Caenorhabditis elegans: one gene and its partner. The protein of the gene in region 2 purifies or fractionates together with the protein of the main gene of each other region. This does not show direct contact. Each region holds a gene or a part of one and is shown on either strand. Other genes may lie near its edges.

What was found. Proteins that work in one complex are often made in the same cells at the same time.
Region 1: the proteins of K07E3.4 (region 2) and atic-1 fractionate together in Caenorhabditis elegans (co-fractionation; one large-scale study listed by BioGRID). This does not show direct contact.

Annotation. Positions count from the first base shown.
Region 1 is NC_003282.8:7,879,888-7,885,721, reverse strand, and holds the start of atic-1 (Bifunctional purine biosynthesis protein ATIC), read right to left. Parts: upstream 3,695-5,834; 5' UTR 3,656-3,694; coding exon 3,634-3,655; intron 3,364-3,633; coding exon 3,116-3,363; intron 1,886-3,115; coding exon 1,774-1,885; intron 277-1,773; coding exon 185-276; exon of another isoform or gene 152-184; intron 1-151. Other genes in the region: srt-73 (Serpentine Receptor, class T), read right to left, coding at 4,688-4,802, 4,854-5,050, 5,352-5,462, 5,553-5,660, 5,708-5,834.
Region 2 is NC_003284.9:8,079,486-8,086,155, forward strand, and holds K07E3.4 (formate--tetrahydrofolate ligase), read right to left. Parts: upstream 4,534-6,670; 5' UTR 4,419-4,533; coding exon 4,416-4,418; intron 3,918-4,415; exon of another isoform or gene 3,862-3,917; coding exon of another isoform or gene 3,859-3,861; intron 3,797-3,858; coding exon 3,698-3,796; intron 3,649-3,697; coding exon 3,192-3,648; intron 3,133-3,191; coding exon 2,879-3,132; intron 2,827-2,878; coding exon 1,878-2,826; intron 1,691-1,877; coding exon 1,530-1,690; 3' UTR 1,384-1,529; downstream 1-1,383. Other genes in the region: C46F2.1 (uncharacterized protein), read left to right, coding at 1-115, 162-401; dao-3 (C-1-tetrahydrofolate synthase, cytoplasmic), read right to left, coding at 4,928-4,945, 5,295-5,512, 5,978-6,356, 6,479-6,652.

The DNA of each region.
Region 1 (5,834 bases), on a different chromosome or scaffold from region 2:
AAAATATGTTCAATAAAATTAAAAAACTGGCAAGTGAACTGTAGAAAAAAAATCATATAAATATCTGATAACAATGTTTAATCATTGTAATTTAGTAGCTTAGTATTATTTCCCACATATTTATTTACTGGCCTTATTGAAGCTTTCATCGGTTGTGATGATTTATTAACCATCTAAAACTAACCTCCGAAATGATATGATCGTAGTCAGCAGGATCACAGATCACACTGACACGTTCGTGATTCTTGGCAGCTGCTCGAAGAAGCGTGACTCCTCCTGAAATTGAGAATGTAGTTGAAATCGAACGTTTCATTCTCTTTTATAGCTACAATGAAAATGGACCCACGGGGACAATTGAAGGTTTATAGATTTACTCTCTGATGTCCTACTGTACAATTAATAATAAAACCGGACACAACAACATTTTAAGAATATGAGTTTATATTGTGATATAGATTCTAGAAAAAATCTGGGCGGGTTTTACATACCCGGAAAAACAGGAAAAAAGGTGAAAGATTCATGAAACAAAAGCCCTTTTAATGGGATAAAAATGTAGGAAACGGTTGGAAAAACAAATACAATGGGTACAATTGAACGAATATTTCCACTTTTTTGTACTTTGTGCTAAGATCATAAAATGTCTATAACCTTATCCTTTTTTTAATATTAAAAAAACCATTCGATTAGAAGTTATAATATGGAAATTTCAATGATACCAAAAACTAGAGCTCAAGCTTTACGAAATGATGCATTCGTAAGATTTGCTCCTTTAAATGTTTCTGAAAGAATTTTCTGAAGATGATCACAGATTATATGAACTTATTGAGAGGAAGTATAGAATGAAAGTGTAAACGAATTATTATTTTCTCAGTTTTTTGTTGGTTGTATTGTCTTTTTTTGTGAATTCTCCAGCTTCCGTGTTAATTGAATTTATATTTTGAGGAACTAAAAAAGACGAACAAGAAGAAAATATAATTGTTTTGGTGTCAGAAAGGATTTAGGAAGGGAGAAGAACAATACATACATGTTTTCACAGTGATAAGTAGAGAACGATTTTTCAGAACCTGAACGTGCCCAATTTCACGAAATTGATATTTCAATTAGCTCAAATAAAACTACTTGATCATAGTATTGTATGTGATAATATTGCCAATTATTAAATCATTCACTAATGCTAAAATGACGAATTACATAACATAGTAAAACTTATCAAAAATCTTGAATTTTTATTTTCATCCAAAAGTGACAATTTTCCCCCTATCATAATAATGGAAGGCGACCGAAATATTATTTTTTATACAAAAAATATATTTTGATAATGTTTAAATTATTTTCAATTGAACATTGTAAGTCTTTGAAAATGCAAGAATGGTCTATTTCATTGACGAACATCCGTTTTAACTTGATTGAATTATTAGCTTGAAGTAGAATTACACCCCTTAAAATTATATGCTATTCCAATGAACTATAATATTTGGTAACTTATTTAAAAACAGGATGAACACTTTAAATTTGAAAAAATTCAACTTTTTAATCTAGGCCGTATGTTTTGGTTATGAAGTTCTGCTAAAATGATTTTCTGATTTCAATTTAAGCTGTTCCTGTGAAAAAATGTTGATGTTTGGTTTAGGGTTAGAAGTCACGAAAGGAGCAAAATAAGTCAAGTGCATAAATTGAAATCAAAAGGAACAAGGGGAAAAAGAAAGATGGCAACATAAAACAAAGTCAATTTTCCGGATGAATAAACTCAAAAAAAGAAAGAAATAAACGAACCAATGTCAATGTTCTCAACAGCTTCTTCTACAGAGCAATCCTTGGATTGAACAGTTTTTTTGAATGGATACAAGTTGCAAACCACCACTGAGACGAATGAAATGTTGTGTTTCTGGAAGAAAGAAAATAACCAAAAAATACAAGGAAGGAAAAGAAGATGAAACAAATTCAATTGAAAATAGAAAGAGAAGGTAATTGAATAGACACGGGCGGTAGAAACTGACACGTAGGCTTGCTCTCGGTGCATCATAACAACACCCCAATCAGTTGTGTTCGTTGATTTTTACGCCAATTTTTATGGATGTTCCAAGTTTAATTTTACTCTATGGTTGATGACGAAAGTTGAAGGTTTACAGATTATCTCACAAAAATCTTATTTTCACTCTGAATTGATAAAATATTTCTAAAAATACACAATAGAATTTCAAATAATATAATGTTCCTGGAGTATTATTTTTTGATTATCTCAGAGATTCAATGTTTATCCTGAAATGCAATATGACTGTAATACAATTTTCCGGCAAACAAAGTTTTTTGACTAATATTTTGCCGTTCTCCGTTCAACTGAACGCTAACTTTATGAAATTTTTTTTCGGTTTCTAATTAATAATTTAATTTTAAAGGTGACATATCTCAACTTTGTCTCAAAGTGTTCTAGCCATCAGGGCTGGCACTTTAATCCCAACAAGAGGCAAGACATAGGTTGCGAAATGCGCAAGTAACAAAAAATTGATTCAAAAAAATCCGAAAAAACTCTCTAACCCGTTTTCCAAAAAATTGTAATCCAACTTCAAAAAATTAACAAACAATTGTCAAAGTTTCAGATTAGACTAACTTTTTTTTTAAACAAAAGCGAGATATAATGTTTATTTAAAAAAAAATTATATAATTCGAAATAAGAATTGAAATTTGAATGAAGTCGTGACGACAAAATGAAGAAAAAGAGGACGAAAAATTGTCTTCTAATCTTCTTTTTGTCTCCTTCTCAACTCTTTATTTTCACGAGATAAGCCTTCTTCATCTGACGAAAGGACCAACTTTTTGTCACCCGTTAGCCCTTCTTTTTTTGGTTTTTTTTCTTCACTTCATTCTATTCAATCATGAATTCGATTAAACTAAGTAATGGTGAAATCTTTCAAGCCAGTACAAAGTTCATTTTGTGAGATTCCCGGAAGTTCTACAAAATCCGATCTTTTGTCAGAATTGTTTTGCACAAATGTTGCAAATTTATTTATTTCCACTTAATATAATTTGCAAGTTTCAGTTGAAAACGGTTCGACAACAAACAAGTTAGTTTACAAATAAAAAAAATTCAAAAAAAAAAGAAAATAAGCTATCTCACCTCTAGATCCTTTCGATCACTTTCCGTATCTCTTGCCAAGATTCCTCCATGAACGGCAGGATGCAGAGTTTTAACTCTTCCACCAAGCATCTCAGGAAACTTTGTTACATCTGCCACATCATGAACATCAATTCCTTGATCTCTGATCGCTTTCGCTGTTCCACCGGACGCAATAAGTGTTAAGCCAGCAGATACAAGTCCATGAGCAAGAGGAATAAGTCCTGTCTTGTCAGAGACCGATATAATGGCTGAAAATTAAAAATGTTTAGCTTTATACTTGCAGTTTATTTTAGTTCATTATTGTAGTAGTTTTCATTTGTTAAATACACAAAAAAGGGTTTTCCAAATCAAGGAGCGAGGTGGGTGAGGTTAGAGGCGGGGAAGAGGTGCCCCCGTAACGCCTCGACCTGGTGGAATGTCTAGTTCAATAAATAATTTTAAAGAATAGAAATGAATTATATTTATTCCGGGATTGCTTGAAAAATTAATTTAAAAAAATTCAAAATGAAATTACTTACCAAGTGATTTTCCGTCGGTCATTTCACACAATTCGTCGATGTATTGTATCAAGTCGATAGTCTTGTAAAATTCAATTTCTAACATTTTGTTTAATATTTTTTATTCGAGACGTAAAAATCACACAAAATAAAAAATGAACAAGGAACCAAAAAACACTAAAAATAGAAACTTTTGAGATAATCACAGGAAAACGATGGATGAGGAGAGCATGAGTTTATGCATTTATAAGTATTATTTTGTGAACTTTGAAATCTTGAACATTTTTGGAAAAATACACTCAGAAATTGGCAACTTTTTCAATGAAAAATGTCTTTTAGACTGGTCAAATTGAACAGTGTTGCTCAATTTTTCAATTGATAAGATAAATTTGATAACGAGGCAAATATTATTGTGTTTTTATTGCTTGTAGATGAAAGAATTAATAATCGAAAAAAAATCAGAAGTAGAAAATAAAAAGAACTTTGAAATCGATTTTAAATATCGCAAATATTATATAACTTTGAAATCTGTGTTGGTGTTTCAAAAACCAATAAAAATCTAATGTTTCTCTGTTCTTATAATAAAATCAAAGCTTCGAATTGGAGATATACGTACATTAATTTTTTTTTCTCGATTTGCCAGAAAATCTTCAAAATTTCAAAAAAAAATTCAATCGGTAGTTTCCCTTGATAACAAAACACAAACATTTTTATTATGAAGTGATGGTGTCTCTGTTTTACGACGGTTTTTATTTGTTTCTGTGTGTTATCAGTTTATCAATGTTTTACTTTGACAAAAGCTTTTTTACTCTGTCCACCTATACTTGCAGAATATTCCTTAAAATTGAAAATATCGAGAGGATCTGTTTCCTCTCATTTCAGTTGTTAGCAGTAAATTAGGCTTCATGTAAAAAGATTTCTGTGTCTAGATTTCATGGACCTATAAATAAATGTTTGGAAATCGATGACAAGAAATAAATTGTTTTTATTTCTAGACATAATTATTTTTTCTAATGATATCTTTCTATTTCTTAAATTCTAAAAACTAAAAGTTATATTTTATTTGAAGACCTGACTACATTTTAGCTCCGGATTGTCGAACTGTTGATACGTGCGAAGCAACAAACATTGTACGTCCACTGACTTCTGTTTGTTTTCCAATTGATGCTAATACCAGGTTACGAATACGACTGCAACTTTTTTTAAAAATGTTTTCAGTCAACCAAAGTTCTAAAACTTACGGATTAATTAATACATAAAGCATTGAATTGATTGAATTCCAAATCATCCATACAACATGTCCAATGAACACTCCAATTGGTAATTCCCATGGAATTGGTAGATATTCCCATGTCAAATACCCAATAACATGAAATATAGAAACACATAATACTTGAATTGTCAATATTAATTCTTTCTTTGACAATAATGCTGCTTTCTGAAAATCAACAAATGTTGAAAAATAATGAAACATTAGCTCTTCTGAAGGGAAATGAAAAGTTTCAAAACATTCTTAATACAAATATCTGCCCTTTGTTTGCGACTACTGTGAAATTTTTTTCATATACCTAAAACGTTTTGAGATTTGACGAATTGAAAATTTAATTCGAAAATCATGGGGTAGCTGTAGATGATATTGTACTTGAAAGTTTTTTGCATGAAATACTGTAGAAACAGTTTTCGATAAGTTTTTTTCTTCAATTTTCTTTGAAACGAAATTATATGTATGTTTTACTCACAAAATAAATATAACTGAAGATAACCAAATGAGCAAATAATGAGAATACGACATCTATTAAAGATATATCAGCACTTACAGACCTTAATACAGCTGATAATGGATTTGAAGCCTGGAAATAAAATTGAAAAGTTGACTATCATTTGGCAATATGCGAAGCTTTCGCCAAACATAAAGTGGGACTTCTCACAGTTGTACTCACGGCATAGTGCCACGTGTAAGCAGGTAATAAATAAACCATTCTACTGAATCCAAAAGCATTTAAAAAACAAACTATACACCATACAATTAGAACTATAGTGAAATATATCTGAAAGGACGGAATTGAAAAAAAGATAAATCATGTTAATAACCTACTTTCATATTGAAAGAATTAAATATTTTGTTGGATTGAAAATGAAAAACAATTGAAATGAGCCGATTAATATTTAAAAATATGCTGAGAATGAGCATTGAGACCCATGATGCATTCATCACAGCTCCG
Region 2 (6,670 bases):
TCCTGTTGTTGTCAGAGGTAAAGATTTCGTTGTCTACCGCAAAAAGTTCAACGAAATAAATGGACTTATCATGTTTACGATAACCATAAGTTACTATGGTTGTTTTCCCTTGGGTGTATGTTTTGCAGTTTGAAATAGACAAAAAGAAACATGCTTTTTAGAGATCCTGCTATGCAATCACAGAATACCCAGGGACATTTAAAAAAGTGGTACCACACATCAATACTAAGAAACACACAACTCATCACAAACATCACTCAAATCATTCAACTATGCACCATGAATCACAAAAGCTCACATTCAAATCGCTCAACCTTCTTTCATTACCACACAAAAAAGATTGCACATGGACTAGTTTTCTTGATTTCTGGCCAATCAACAAATTAATTTATTCCGATTAAGCCAAGAAAAACTTGTTCAAACTCTTGTAACTGCAATAAGCCAATAATAACACTTTAATTGTATAAAGGAGGATGTCATATTATGAGAAACCCAAATAATACATTTCATCTGGTATATCTTAAATGTTCAATTTCTTTGCTTCATTCACAATTCCAAAAATGATTTATACTTGTTTGACAATTGTTCTGTCAGTCTACCACTTCCCATTTCCCCTATTAAATCCTGTAGCATTGCTACAACTGTTTCTTGCCAAAAACTTTTCAGCTATTATTTCATGTACTTTATTTTTATTCTTATTTTTACTCCTGCTGTGCCACTTTGTATGAAATGATTTCAACAAATAATTTTTTTCAGAATCATAAATTTCAGCATTTAAAGAAACAAACATGTCAGGCTACACGAAGGAAGAAAAAGTAAAAGTGCATTAGAAGATTTTATACTTGTTTTTTTAATCTTCAATGAAGCAACAGACATCTCAATTAAAAGCTTTTAAAAAATGTCAAAGGAAATTGCCAGAAAAACTAAAAATCTAAGTTTTTCAATACTAAATCCCCTTTTTCAAATATTTTCGAGCTAACTTACTTGCTACGATTTTCAACAAATAAGTATCTGTAAAAAAGTTTTGCATTGTCTTTTTTGATAGGAAGATATAAAAACAACAATGCAATTTCCATGTCAAAAATAATATGCATGGTCTTGATACAAACTGCAAAAAAAATTATTAAAAAAAAAGCATTACTACCCAAACTATTATATCCCGTTTTTAAGTAGAAATACTGAATAACCAATTTTTGGAAAAATGTATCATAGTTATGATACACAGATATTGTGTTGAGCTGATGAAAAAGTAATTGAATCCAGCAAATTTCAATTTCATAGCCAATCAACTGCTATGATCATATGATGACGTGACAACAGGAAAAACCGGGTTTTTTCTGAAATAACAGGTTTTCGGCAAATATGTCCTGGCAGACAGAAATATTTTTTTTAATTCAATTTTATTGGTCTTCAAAAAATATGCTCTTATATACTCTTTTTATTTACAATTTCAGTATTAAATTCTTATATAAAATCACAATGTTACGCATATCACAAATAATCTGTAGAAAGAAGTATGAAAGCATTGTTTAGAATAGCCCATCAATGATCTCAGTGACTGGGTCAATGGTGATGTCGTAGAAGCACGGACGAGTGTTGAGTCCTGGCATTGTGGTCATTTCACCAACCAATGGGTAAATGAATCCAGCTCCAACGGATGCACGCACGTCGCGAATCGGAAGTGTGAAACCTACAAAAACTCTATCTTGATTTGAAAATAGTTGTTTGAATAGTTTGGTAGGAAATTGTTTATGCATAGTCAATATCGAGTTTCATTAACCAATCATAATGTTGAACTTTTAGTACCTAAACTATAAACATTAAAACATCAACAGAGTGTTTATAATTGACCGGTATCTAATAATTTGATTTCTTACCAGTTGGAGCACCCTTCTTTGTTGGGTCTGATGAAAGGGACAAATGAGTTTTTGCCATACAAATTGGCAACTTCGAGAATCCCTGTCTTGTGTATCTTTCCAATTTCTGTTTGGCCTCGTCAGATAGTTCAATGCCATCAGCACCATAGATTTCTTTGGCGATAGTAGCGATCTTGTCTTCCAATGACAAATCCAGGTTGTAAAGGAATTTGAATTGCTTTGGATGTCCAGTTGTAGCATTGACCAGAGAATTGGCGAGAGCAACCGCACCAGCGCCTCCTTGTGACCAGTGTTCGGAAACCACTGCATCAAATGCTCCGTATTCCTTGGCCTTGGAGCAAACAAGTTCCAACTCCTTGTCGGTATCGGTTGCGAACTTGTTCACGCAGACAACAACAGGGATTCCAAATTTGTTTGCATTCTCAATCTGCTTTCTAAGATTTGAATCGCATCCTCCTTCAACAAGTGGAATGTTTTCGTCAAGGTATTCGTGTTTCAGTGGAGCTCCTGCTACAACAGATGGACCACCTCCATGCATCTTAAGAGCTCTTACAGTTGCTACAAGGACAACTGCTGATGGCTGAAGTCCCGAGTAACGGCACTTGATGTTGAAGAACTTCTCCATTCCGATATCGGCTCCGAATCCAGCTTCAGTGATCACAAATCCGTCGGGTCCGGCAAGTTTCAAAGCAACCTTGTCAGCAAGAATACTGCTTTGTCCATGTGCAATATTAGCGAAGGGTCCGGCATGGACAAAAACCGGAGTACCCTCCAAAGTTTGCATCAGGTTTGGGCGAACGGTGTCTCGCATAAGAACTGTCAAAGCCCCAGTTACTCCAATATCATCAGCGGTTACTGGATTGCCAGCCTTGTCGGATCCGATCACAATTCGTGCAATTCTTTCTTGCATATCAGCGAGAGAAGTTGTCAACGCAAGAATCGCCATGAGCTACAAATAAGAATTAATAAATTAAAATTGCCATGAAATTGTTTTGACTAACCTCACTAGCAACAGTAATATCAAACTGAGTAGTTCGGGTGTGTCCCTTCTCATTCGGTCCCATTCCAATTTCAATCTTTCTTAAGAATCTATCGTTCGTATCCATCACACGGTTCCAGGTGATAGTTGCAGGATCTATGTTGAGACGAGCAAAGCTAACTCTCTGCTCTTCGCTAAGATTTTCAGCATCATCTACACGTGGGATTCCAAGACGGTCGAGGCGACGAAGTTGGATCTCCGAAAGTGGGCGGACTCCTGAAAAGTAAGTATTAATGTATTTATTTCTATGCCATAAAAAGGGACTTCAAACAAACCCTTCTTGTTCTTTGGTGCCAATCTGTTGAATAGTGCATCAGTTGCTTGGGTTGACTCATGGAACATTCTAGCATCGATTGCAGCAGCAAGAAGATTATTGGCTGCAGTAATTGCATGGATATCTCCTGTCAAATGAAGATTGAACTCCTCCATCGGAATAACCTGAGAGTATCCTCCTCCAGCAGCTCCTCCTTTAATTCCAAACGTTGGTCCTTGCGATGGCTGGCGTACACATGCGAACACCTTTTTGTGAAGATGAGCTCCGAGAGCTTGAACTAGTCCGATTGTCGTTGTGGATTTTCCTTCTCCAAGAGGTGTTGGCGTAATACCAGCAACTACAACGTACTTTCCATTTTTAACCTCGCTCAGTCTATCCAAAATGTCAAGAGAAACCTTTGCCTTCTTGCGTCCATAAAGGTCAAGCTCTTCTTGTTTGATTCCAATTTCCCCAGCTACCTGAAAATAATGAAGATAAGTTTTTTTTAAATTAAATATTCTTGAGTGCCTTTTCGATGTCCTTTGGTGGTTGAGCTCTCGAAATAGCAATATCCGATGGAACAGGAGTTAACAGGGTGGGCTTCAAGTATTCAACATTCCATGTGCTCTGAAATAAAAAATAATTCAACGAAATTATAATGTTTGATTTGGAACATTTAATCGAATTACCATTCGGTCAAATTTGCGGCGCAAGCAGCGTGAAAAATTGAAAATTGAAGTTGATGAAAAGATAGAAATTGTGACTTAAATGTTTATGGGAACTTCGATCAAAAATTCTTATTTTTTTATATTTTGATTCTTATCAATCAATAAAATAGATTGACAATAGTGATAATGTTGCAATTCGCAACTTGACTTTAAAAAACGATAAAACGCACGGACAGGTTTATCAGAAGAAAGTAACATATTTTAGGTTTTCCAGAAATGTATGACAACATATCAAACTGGGACATATTAAGTTTTTATTAGTCAACATAAACAAAAAAGACGCTTTTTCAAGATTAATTTCTATGTACATATTAATTTAACAGATAATACTCTTTTTTTTATCTTCAGACTCTTTTTTTTTTTGAAAATGTATTTTTACAGTGTGGAGTTATTATACACAAGTTCTGTTTTTTTTGCTCACGCTCAAAACATGAACAAATTATTTTTGTTATTTTTGGAGTTTTCAAAATTGCATTTTCCGTTTAAAAATCAAATCCCAAAACGTTAGTGTTACTTACCATGTTTCACAATTCAAGAGAAACCAATGAATCAACGAAAATAAAAAGCGAGTGATTCAAACAACTGCAGAGCGATGGCCACTAAATACAAACACCTTGATAAGGCAGTGGGCAGAACAAGTAATCGAGTCAGTATCAGATATTAGGAGACGCACAGAAAACATGCACGGGGGGCATTTGCCGGGTCTGCCTTATTGATCGCGTCCTCTGATTTGTTCGATGTTGCGTCGCTCTCGTGCATCTAAACATCTAAACTAACCACGTGCATTTATCGCGAGACCATGGTCTTTTTACAAATCAGGGCTAATTGTGTCCTTGGTCATTGTTTATTTCGGTGGAAAGTGACAATAAAAAGAAAATACAAATTGAAAAGATTAGATTAAAAAAAGGTATGAAGAGGACTTCAAGTTCCAGAACGTCACAACAAATTTTAAAGAGTAAAAAGTCAAACCAAAAAGCACATTATAAATAGTTCATTCGCAAATGATGTGGTGGAAGTGGGTGCTTGAAGTTCACTCATCATCGTCATCCTGAAAAGTAGGTTCTGTGAAATACAACACTTACAAATATTTTTAACATATTTTCAATCGATTTTGTGTGAGGCACACTATAGTTGCAGAACAACTTTACATTCGGTGTAAATAATGAAGACAATGTCCATGAAATTTGCTTGTTTCGTAGAGTTTATCGCTCAATGAATTTTTGAAGTTCTTTGAGTCGATAACGTGCTATCGGTGTCTTTTGTAATTTTTGAAATAAACTCTGGTGCATCAGTATCAACCCCACACGCAAAACAAACTGTTTGGCACTATCCACGCTTAGGCCAGAACATCAAAAAACCTGCACAAACTTAGTGTCGCAAAAGGAAAGCTATTTTACCTTTTGTCCAAGACGTCGTCTCTTAGCCTGCTCAAATGTGTTACGGATGAGCATGGCAACAGTCATTGGTCCAACGCCTCCGGGGACAGGTGTGAGGAATCCGGCGACTTCCTTTGCGGCTTCTGTGTCAACATCTCCGTAAATTTTGCGTGAGTTTGGGTCGTCACCAACGTTGATTCCACAGTCGATGACGAATGCGCCAGGCTTGATCCAATCAGCTGAAATATATGCTTTTATTTGTAAAAAACGCTGACACTTATCAGAACAGAGAGTCTGTTTCTATTTGATGCAAAACAATTCAGAAGTTGCAAACAGTCAGGTGCATACTAAACATTGATAGTTCTTAAATTGGGGTTTCTATTATAGATATTTTGCATAATTTAATGACTTACAAACTTTTAGGTTAGCAAGTAAATACCGTGCTGCTCATATAAAGGTCTACTCGTAATAACTTTTGCCAAGATTCTTCTTTTAAATGGATTTGGGCGTAATTATGAAAAAAGCAACGCGAAATTTGTTCAATGATGAATTCCAAAAAATCAGGATATAAAAACTTTCACTATTTTACTATAGTCAGATCTCAGCTCGGAATAACCACGTTTGCTGAAGTTGAAATCAATCTTTTGATATCTGTATGGCCAGTACTGTGCACTATCTCAAATTTAGGTTTATTGATAATCTACCTTTGACGAAATGTTTTCTCCCAATTGCCACAATCAAAATATCTGCTCTCAGGCATTTCTCCTTGAGATTTGGAGTTTTTGAGTGGCAGATTGTCACAGTTCCATGATGCCACAAGAAAAGCGCAGCGGCTGGAGATCCGACAATTTTCGAGCGTCCCAAAACAACCACCTCCTTTCCAGACACAAAGTTGGCATCACCAGTTGCCTGTTGAACCAAGTACAAGCATCCAAACGGAGTGCAAGGAAAGATCGTACGCTGGAGTTCTCCACGAGCCAAACGTCCAGCATTGATACGAGTCAGTCCATCGACATCTTTCAATGGGTCAATCAAGTCGATAACAGAGTCTGCGTCGATTTCGTGCTTGCAGTCCAGTGGAAGCTGAAATTAATAACTTGCTATTATTGTTTAGCTTCCGATGTTTTTTTTTAATTAACTGAGATGTGTTTTTTTTCCGTTATAAGTTAACATTTCAATATTACAACTTAATCCGTTATATTAACCTGAATGATAATTCCGTCAATCTCGTTGTCATGATTAAGAGCCATAATCTCTCGCTTCAAATCTCCTTGAGTGATGGTGTCTGGCAACTTAATGAGTTTTCCATCTGCTCCGATTTCCTTTGCTTTTTTCAGTTTGGAATTAATGTACACATTGGAGTCTGAACGATTTCCAACCTGCAAATTTTGAGACTT